3 linked regions of the Ovis aries genome follow. The main gene of each other region encodes a partner of the protein of the gene in region 2 in a complex. Links are inferred from orthologs where the notes say so. Each region holds a gene or a part of one and is shown on either strand. Other genes may lie near its edges.

Evidence for each region.
Region 1: EPC1 (region 2) and MORF4L2 share a complex: the UniProt entries of both Homo sapiens proteins name them as parts of the nuA4 histone acetyltransferase complex. The link is inferred for Ovis aries from reciprocal best matches to the Homo sapiens genes EPC1 and MORF4L2.
Region 3: EPC1 (region 2) and KAT5 share a complex: the UniProt entries of both Homo sapiens proteins name them as parts of the nuA4 histone acetyltransferase complex. The link is inferred for Ovis aries from reciprocal best matches to the Homo sapiens genes EPC1 and KAT5.

What each region holds. Positions count from the first base shown.
Region 1 is NC_056080.1:129,260,889-129,263,636, reverse strand, and holds the end of MORF4L2 (mortality factor 4-like protein 2), read left to right. Parts: intron 1-549; 5' UTR 550-573; coding exon 574-1,437; 3' UTR 1,438-2,097; downstream 2,098-2,748. UniProt on the Homo sapiens protein: Component of the NuA4 histone acetyltransferase complex which is involved in transcriptional activation of select genes principally by acetylation of nucleosomal histone H4 and H2A.
Region 2 is NC_056066.1:32,594,119-32,597,774, reverse strand, and holds part of EPC1 (enhancer of polycomb homolog 1), read right to left. Parts: intron 3,280-3,656; coding exon 3,138-3,279; intron 3,033-3,137; coding exon 2,669-3,032; intron 676-2,668; coding exon 603-675; 3' UTR 1-602. UniProt on the Homo sapiens protein: Component of the NuA4 histone acetyltransferase (HAT) complex, a multiprotein complex involved in transcriptional activation of select genes principally by acetylation of nucleosomal histones H4 and H2A.
Region 3 is NC_056074.1:40,324,872-40,327,555, reverse strand, and holds the end of KAT5 (histone acetyltransferase KAT5), read right to left. Parts: intron 1,669-2,684; coding exon 1,509-1,668; intron 1,378-1,508; coding exon 1,296-1,377; intron 1,204-1,295; coding exon 1,069-1,203; 3' UTR 652-1,068; downstream 1-651. Other genes in the region: RNASEH2C (ribonuclease H2 subunit C), read left to right, coding at 86-292. UniProt on the Homo sapiens protein: Catalytic subunit of the NuA4 histone acetyltransferase complex, a multiprotein complex involved in transcriptional activation of select genes principally by acetylation of nucleosomal histones H2A and H4.

The sequences.
Region 1 (2,748 bases), on a different chromosome or scaffold from region 2:
TTAATTACCCAGACCTGAAATTGTAGGGCCACCTGTGATTCCTCTCTCTCCTTCATTTACCAAGTTCTCTGTTCACTTTCTCTTGACTCTGTCATCAGCCTAGTTCAGGCCTACCTGGACTTACACAAAAACCTTTGCTGGTACGCATTTTGCTTCCAGGCAGCTAAATTAATCTTTCTTGTTTCTTCTGTCTTGTCATTTTTCCTCTTCAGAAATCCTGAATTTCACCTCCACTGCCTTTTGTAGTTTAATTCATTCTTTCTCTGAAATTATATTCTTGTCGTTTGAGTAACATCAAAAAACTAATTTATGGGCAGGTCTGATGAGTGACTGGGTAGGCTGAGAGTAGTGGGTGAGGGGTAGTGAGGATCAAAGAGTGAGCAAAGAGGTAGTAAGTCACTAACAATTAATTGGTTGGCCCTGAAATAGGATCTGAAATCCAGATTTCAAGAGAGTAGTGTGTGTTGTGCTTTAATAGGCCTTTAGGAAGCACACTGTGTTCAAGGTCTCCATAGAAAACAACCAAATAAAATGTTTTATATATTACAGTGGTTGGAATAAAAACAGGGTTGAATGAGTTCCAGAAAGCAGGGTTCTCAAACCCGTGGACACCAATCTGCCGAAGAAGACAATTTCAAAAAACCAACTAGAAGCAATATGCAAAGAAGTAAAATGAGAGGGTCCTCTGGAAAGAAGACAGCTGGTCCCCAGCAGAAGAATCTGGAAGCAGCACTCCCAGGCAGATGGGGGGGTCGCTCTGCTGAGAATCCCCCATCGGGGTCGGTGAGGAAGACCAGAAGGAACAAACAGAAGACCCCTGGGAATGGAGATGGTGGCAGCACCAGCGAAGCACCCCAGCCACCTCGGAAGAAAAGGGCCCGGGCAGACCCCACAGTTGAAAGTGAGGATGCTTTTAAGAATAGAATGGAAGTTAAGGTGAAGATTCCTGAAGAATTAAAACCATGGCTTGTTGAGGACTGGGACTTAGTCACCAGGCAGAAGCAACTTTTCCAACTCCCAGCCAAGAAAAACGTGGATACTATTTTGGAAGAATACGCCAACTGCAAAAGATCACAAGGCAATGTTGACAACAAGGAGTATGCAGTTAATGAGGTGGTGGGAGGGATAAAAGAGTATTTCAACGTGATGTTGGGCACCCAGCTGCTCTACAAATTTGAGAGGCCCCAGTATGCCGAAATTCTCTTGGCTCACCCTGATGCACCAATGTCCCAGGTTTATGGGGCACCACACCTCCTGAGATTATTTGTAAGAATTGGGGCAATGTTGGCATACACGCCCCTTGATGAGAAGAGCCTTGCATTATTGTTGGGCTATTTGCATGATTTCCTGAAATACCTGGCAAAAAATGCTGCGTCTCTGTTCACTGCCAGCGATTATAAAGTGGCTTCTGCTGAGTACCACCGCAAAGCCCTGTGAGGGTCTACTGACCACTCGCTGTTACGTCTGGTATCTGTAAACGCTCTTTTTGTTCTTAGTCTTTTTTCTTGTATAATTGATACTCTTTAAAATCGTTAATGTATAACAGGGCTTATGTTTCAGTTTTCTGTTTTCTCCTAAACAGAAAATAAAAGGAGTGTAAGCTCCTTTTCTCATTTCAAAGTTGCTACCAGTGTATGCAGTAATTAGACAAAGAAGAAACATTCAGTAGAACATTTTATTGCCTAGTTGACAACATTGCTTGAATGCTGGTGGTTCTATCCCTTTGACACTACACAATTTTCTAATATGTGTTAATGCTACGTGAAAAATGCCCTGATTCCTAGTGCCAAAGGTTCAACTTAATGTATATACCCGAAAACCCATGCAATTGTGCTTTTTTTTTTTTATGGTGCTTGAAGTAAAACAGCCCATCCTCTGCAAGTCCATCTATGTTGTTCCTTAGGCATTCATTCTATCTTTGCTCAAGTTGTTGAAGGATGGTGGTTTGTTTCATGGTTTTTGTATTTGAGTCTAATGCACGTTCTAACATGATAGAGGCAATGCATTATTGTGTAGCCATGGTTTTCCGGAGAAGTTGATATTTTAGGAATCGTATTTCAGATCTTAAATAAAATTTGTTTCTAAATTTCAAAGCAAGCAATTTGCAGTGTGTCTTTAATGTTACTGAGCCTGAGAAATCAGCAGGCTCAGGAAAGACCTAGATGGTACTAAAGGAGAGAGTTCCGACTCTTAGTGAAAGAATTCCTTTTATTGTTGGGTGTAGCAGCTGGGATGCACCCTGCCAGGTCAGCTTCTCTTCTCTCCCCTCTGTGTGGCTGCTCAGGGTGGGATTGCTTTCTACTGATGCTTATAAGAGCCACTTTTGTTCCTGAGGCCCCTTGTCTCTATGAGTTGGGCTAGTATAATAGGATATTTAATGGGTGCTGCAACACTCCTTTAAAGTTAGGGAGAGCATTGCTGTTTCCCACCAGAGGAAGCATGGGCAGCCACCTCCAGTATTAGACATACTTGTAGATTTGGGAACAAGGATGGCAGCTTTTCCAGCTCCAGCATTAATGCCATGTTCCCAATGCTTCAATAAACCCTTGGACATAAGATTGGGAATCCTAGAGTTAGGGAGTCTGTGGAGAAGAGGGACAGTGTTGGACACCTGTGACGATAAATCTGTCTTCTGTGAAAATCCCCTAGTCAAACGAAGTTTTGCTTCACAACACTGTTACTACTTTAGTGAAAAAAGTATTCTATGGTTACCACAGAAACTTTGGAAAATACACTAAGAACAAACAG
Region 2 (3,656 bases):
TATGTATGTCACCATTTTTTTTTTTTTTTTCACATGATACACAGAAAACTCAGGGACCCAGAGGGGAACCAAGTTATGTTATACCATTTACAAAATACCAGGGAGTCCACGGCTACCTAACACATTTACTACAGCACAGGAACCAATGAAGGTACAGTGTACAAAAAACTGTAAACACGGCACAATAAATAGAGAAAACAGCAGGTTCCGCACCATGCACATGATGTGATGACACTTCATCTCGATACAATCTCACATCTCACACTCTTTGTTGCAATTTATTTCCCTCCCACCCCCCCGCCCCCAAGTGCAAAGCATCACAAATGAACATTTCTGTATTCAAGTAACGTATATACAAGGGTATTACAAATATGCAGTACTGTACAGATAATTGCTGTATTCTTAATTTACAGATGTTGATTTTTTTTTCCTATTAACAGTAAGAAAAGAAAAGTTGAAGCATGAGAGATGAGCACTGCTGTCGAGTCCCCACAGCTGCCACAGAAACGCATGTGCTGCATTCCACCATCCCTTGCATTTGAAACGCTCCCGATGCATAGCACCTAGTCAAGTCCCCAGGCTGCGGCTCCGCTCCTGAGGAGCTACGTCACCTCCATCGCCACTGTGTTGTCTGCTATGTTGTTTAGTGCTGGCTTTTCTGAGTCATGATTTTCCCTGTTGAAGAAAAGAGGGCAATAGATTACTTCTCTGCAGTCAACTTAATCAATCGAGATGATCTTCCCAATGAAAGGTCTAGATGTTTTCAATAACCGAAAGAAATCTGACTCTTTTGGGACAGGACGGCAAGCAGAGGGCTATAAACCCTGATGCTTTATTATCAGGGGCACAAGACCAGAAGTTAGGCTTGTGCTGCACATTCCGTAAGCAACTACATTAGCAGTTAAGACTGGAGCAGCACCCAAGCAAGCTAGATGGGAAAACGCATAAAGAATAGCCACACTTTAGCGTTTCAATTTCCTCCTTGATTAGGCTTTTGCTAAGAATTTTAAAGAGGAGCGAAGTGAATGAGGGTCATTCACATCAGGCCTTCAAGTCTGGTTCTTTCCCCACGTGGAGCTGAGCAATCAGAAGACCAGGGTCTTAGCCACTCCAGCCCTTCCACTGTTCTTAAGTAAAAGCAATCATTTATTGACTAGCTTTAACTACACCCAGAATACTAACGAAAATGGGATGAGTCTCCAGCAGATGACGACCACTTCTTAAGCTCAGGGGCATCCCCAGTGGTTCAGTGGTAAAGAATCCACCTGCAATGCAGGAGATGCAGGTTTGATCCCTGGGTCGGGAAGATCCCCTGGAAAAGGGGATGACAACCCTCTCCAGTATTCTTGTCTGGGAAATTCCACAGACAGAGGAGCTGGCGGGCTACTGTCCATGGGGCTGCAAAGAGGCAGACATGACTGAAGCAACTGGGCACACACTTAAAAGTTCAAAAGGAGAAAGGATGCTTGGGTCAGAAACTAATAGCTATAGTCGGCTGCTACAAAGCTTGCCCCCCTGCCTGGGGCCACTCCCAGCTGAGGACATCTATGGATCAGCCTGGCATTCAAGACAAAGTCCAGTCTCCTCCTACCACTAACCTTTCCAAATCTCTAGACAGACTAGTTACCTGTTAACCTCCGGTCACATCTGTATTTCCCTCCCTTTCTCCTTTTCCTCTTTGCCCAACCAAGATGAAATCTCATTTTCTAGAACATTCCCAGAATACCCTGGGTGTAAAAATATATATTAAAATTATAGCCACAATCTATACAATTAATGACAAGCATATAATGCTTTGTGATACTGCCAGAACAATTTTTACCTATTACCTACAATTCTATTATTTAACTTTTCACACTTTTATGCTTGTCCTCTAACTAAACTGAAAACTCCTTGTCTTTCTCTTATTTTTTCAGCAAAGTATTTTGTAGACAGCAAGATTTTAATTATTGTTAATATTTAAAACAGAATAGAGCCTGGGCAAACATTCTAAACCATCTATTGAAACCTAAGAAAACAAGTTGGCACAGTATAAAATAACTGATTAGAAGTTGACCTGGCATGAATACTATAACCCTTTACATTGCTTACAGTATTCAGAGCAGCTTAGTGACTAGCCATGGTGGGTTCTATCAATTCTGTCCACTTGAAAAGCTGTGGAAGAAATTATGAGCAAAAGAAACATTCTACAGAGAACTCCTTCCATCCAAAGGTGGAATAAAAGGTGAAAGTACTATAAGCTCTTTTTTTTTTTTTTTTAATAAGCTCTTATTATACAAAGAAAATGATGTCCCAATTATAGATGCTATGTTCACTATATGCCATTTAGTTCAAATTCTCAGCAGTATGTAATTACAACATTTACCTGTTTAGTTCTTACAAAAATAAGGAATTCTCATCTATACATTTTTAACGTATATAAGGAAAAGAGCAAAAAACATAGGGAATTCTCTGGCAGTCCAGTGGTTTCACTGCTGTGACTCGGGTTCAATTCCTGGTCGGGGAACTAAGATCTCAAAAGTCACAAGGCATGGCCAAGAACAAACGAAAACCTCCCCAGAAAACCAGAAAGGAAAAACAAAACACAAAGAAATAAGTAGAGAGCAGTGCCAGAGAACTTAAGCTAGATCTCTTATTTTCAACACTCCGAGCTTCGGTAACTACTCACCGTGGGACGGCATCCACAGAGGATGACGACGGGACCTTGGAAACTTGACAGTTTGCTGCAGCAGCCAGCTTTAAGGCAGACGACGGGACAGCACTTAAAGTCCTAGGTATGTGTCGTGCATTTATAGGGGTGATAGAGTTTACAGTGGCAACTGATGAAGGTACAGTCAATCGAATGTTGTTCCCAATCAGAACCTGAGTTGTGGCGGAGTTGGCAGCGGTCGCCGGGTGACCCGGCGCACTGTGGGAACCCGCAGTCTGGGTCACGCTTGCAGGCTGCAGCAAAGCCGGCCCTGCTGTCGACGGACTCGTGTGGACAAGTGCTGTGGGTGCAGTACTACTGAGGTGTAAGCCCTTGTATACTCCTAGGGAAAAGGAAAGATGCAGCTCAACAACCGCAACTCTGCTTTGGGTTTATCACTGACGTAGGTCACAAAAACAATCACGTGCTGACACGTCTCTCTCCCTACCTGAGGCTGGAAGGACGCCGTTCACCCCAATTCCAAGCACCACATCCTCCTTCATCTTGAATCCCATCAGTTGTTCCGATGTCACCAAAGCAGAAGCAGCAAACTGAGCACTAGCAGAATCCAAAGTCTTGGACACAAAACCCTACAAAGGAAAACACAGAGCAGAGCTAATCAGCACCACTTAGTTTCCAACGACTATTAAGCTACACAGCTATATGCCAAAATCAGTCCGCATACAAACGAAAGTGGCAAACCACTGAAGTATCTTCATTTCTTCTTGACAGTCATAAATCTGATTAATGTTGAGGTCATCTTGTAACCCGAGGATTATAACGTTAAAAAATAAATTCTTTTTTGCTGTACATCGGATTTTGGACCTTAGTTCCCAGGGATTGAACCAACACTCCCTGCATTGGAAGGTGGAGTCTTAACCACTGGACTGTCAGGGAAGTCCCAAGGATTATGGATTTTGATCTTATGTGACAATATATAATATGAAATTACCAAAATAAACCTTTA
Region 3 (2,684 bases), on a different chromosome or scaffold from region 2:
TGAGCACTGGGGGATAGGGTTGGAAGGGAGCCCGGGTGGGAACCGCAGCCCGGATGCTGAGCCAGGGCCCCTTCCCGGCCCCCAGGACCGCTTTATGGGAGCCACAGCCAGCTTCAGCAGCTTCACCGTGTGGGGCCTGGAATCTATCCCTGGTCCGGATGCCAAACTGCGTGGGGCCCTAAGCTGGCCCAGCCTCGCTGCAGCGGTGAGTAGATGGATGGGCCCTCTCCCTCCCAGGCTTTATCTAACACCGAACCCACCCCCCCCCACCCCCGGCCCCACCCCAGCCTGAGTGAATTTGGGGCTGGGGCGAACAATGGGGCAGATGGAGACCCAGTCTGACTGGAGGATTAGACTGGGTAGGGACAGCATGGCTTCCCCAGCACTCTTCTCTGGCCTTCTAGAAGGGCTATGATTCTGAATATCTGGGCCACCCAGTCACTATACTGCAGAAATCCAATAGTAGAGGTGATTCCTGTTGCAGATTCACGCACAGGTACCCGAAGACTGAGAACCAGAGCTTGACATTGAAAGCCACCGAACCCCTCACCCCAGTGTGAAGCCAGAGTCCTTCACCCAATAAAGGAGCTTTTCACAGAACCTGTGAGTTTGCCAACACTGCCCCTTCTCCCACAGAACCTTCCATAGCTCTGACCTCTAGGAACAATTTATTGCCAGGGGGCAATGGGGCAGAAGAGGCCATAATTTTGCAACCAGTACCCACCACACCCCAGCTCCTACTTTACAAAAGAAATTTGTACAGCCGTCAGTCCTCTGTACAAGGCACCCCACCCACCCCTCTTACTATATACACAGCTGCCTGGCTCCCTCTGGTCCCTGGTTCACAGCAGGCCTGGGCCTGCAGCCAGCTGACCGTGGAGTTGCCATGAGCCCTGAGCTCGCCTTGGTGCTGGGCACCAGCTAGCCTTGACCAGGCCCGTCCTCTCCTTTTGGAGTGGTCCTCAGCCCTGTCTCCCTTGGTGTGCCTCTTGGAGACCCTGCTGGGGGCGAGATGGCTGCCAGCTTCAGTTCTGCTGCCTTTGCTGGCATTCCCCGGGCAGCGTCCGGTCACCACTTTCCCCTCTTGCTCCAGTCCTTGGGAGTGAAGTGCAGACACTTGGAGTCGATCCGAAGAAGCCGTTTGAGCATAGCCCGTTCGTGCCCATCCACGATGTCCTCCGACAGGGTGAGGATATACTGGCCCTGGACGGGAGATGGGGCCAGGCAGGTCAGCTCAGGCGGGCCTGTACTCGGGATCCCTGCACACACCTGTCTCCCCCTGCCTGCCTCCCTACCTTGTAGTAGTTGATGAGGTTGAGGTACTGTAGAGTGGATATGACATCCTCCTTCTTGATGCTGGTGATTTCACTGATCTCACTGTGGGAGGGCAAAGATCAGGTCCCCTGGGGGCCTCCATCTCTGCCCAGGCCCCAGTAGCCCAAGGATTGAGAAAGCCCGGGAACAGAAGGTCATGCCATGCACCCCGGGGTAGGCAGGGCCAGGCTCACTTGATGGTGATCTGTGGCCTCTCCCCGCTCTCTGACTTCAACCCCATCAAGATCTCCAGGATGGTCTGGGACCAGTAGCTTCGGTAGGACAGGAGGCCAAGGTCCGAGAGGGGCTTCTCAGGGGTCCCCGTTTTCCCTTCCACTTTGGAGAGTTCATAGCCTAAAGCAATGGAGCAGGAGGAGGTGGATAAACGATCACAGTATTATGCCACTAGTGTCTTAAGAACGCAGGCGATCGGGCAGACTGCATGGCCCCGTCTTGGGCCTGCCACGTGGTGGTTCTGTGGTCTGGGTATGTGGCTTGTCTGTTCAGTGCCTTAGTTTGCTCTAAAGGACTAGCACGCCTACTCTTCAGCTGTGTGCTGAAGCTACAGTCAACCAGGAGCCAGCAAGGGCTTACAGGTGGGACGGGGAAGTGCAGAGAATGGCTTGTGGAAAGAAAGTGCCTCCAGTTTTCCTCGGTCCTACCACACTGGGTATGTGAGGAGAAAAGTGGGCCAGGCCCCACCTCTGGTCCAGGCCTGAGGATGCTCAGATTCTCAGTCATAACAGTCCCCCAGCTGTGAACAGAGAACCATCAGCGGCTCTAAGACCAGGCTGGGTGGCTGGGAGGAATTAAGGGGAGTGATGCCAAAGCACTTCCCAGTCAGAGGAGGCCATTCCTCAGCAGTAACTGCCTTTGCCAGGGCGCTCTCCCTCCCAATTCTACTGCTCTGCCCTCCTACGCGGGTGACCACTGAGCAGGCAGTTCCTGGTGAGACCCTCAAGCCCTGCAAAACCCTGAGCAGTTTCACATCTGTTGGACAGAGTCATTTTTCCCATCAGGGCCCTGAGATGTCTCCACTATTTCTAGAAGCCCTTCTTCACCCTCAGTCATCACGAGCCTTGTGTTGGAGCGTAGCCTTTCTGCTTTCCCCTTGATACGTCTTTATTAGCCAGTCTGACCCTCTTGCCCAACCTCCTGTGACTTCCACCAAAAAGCCTGGTGGGGAGGACAGAGAGGCCTCTGCTTTGGAGGCAGGAAGCAGGGAAGAGAGAAGGGGCACACTGGAGTTCTCACTCAGCTTTGCTGGGCAGGTGTGCGTGCAGAGTCCTGACCAATCAACTGGAGGCCACGCTTGCCTCCTTAGTGGCAGGGACTCCTGGCCCCTCCCAGTGAATACCCCCTGCCCCCAG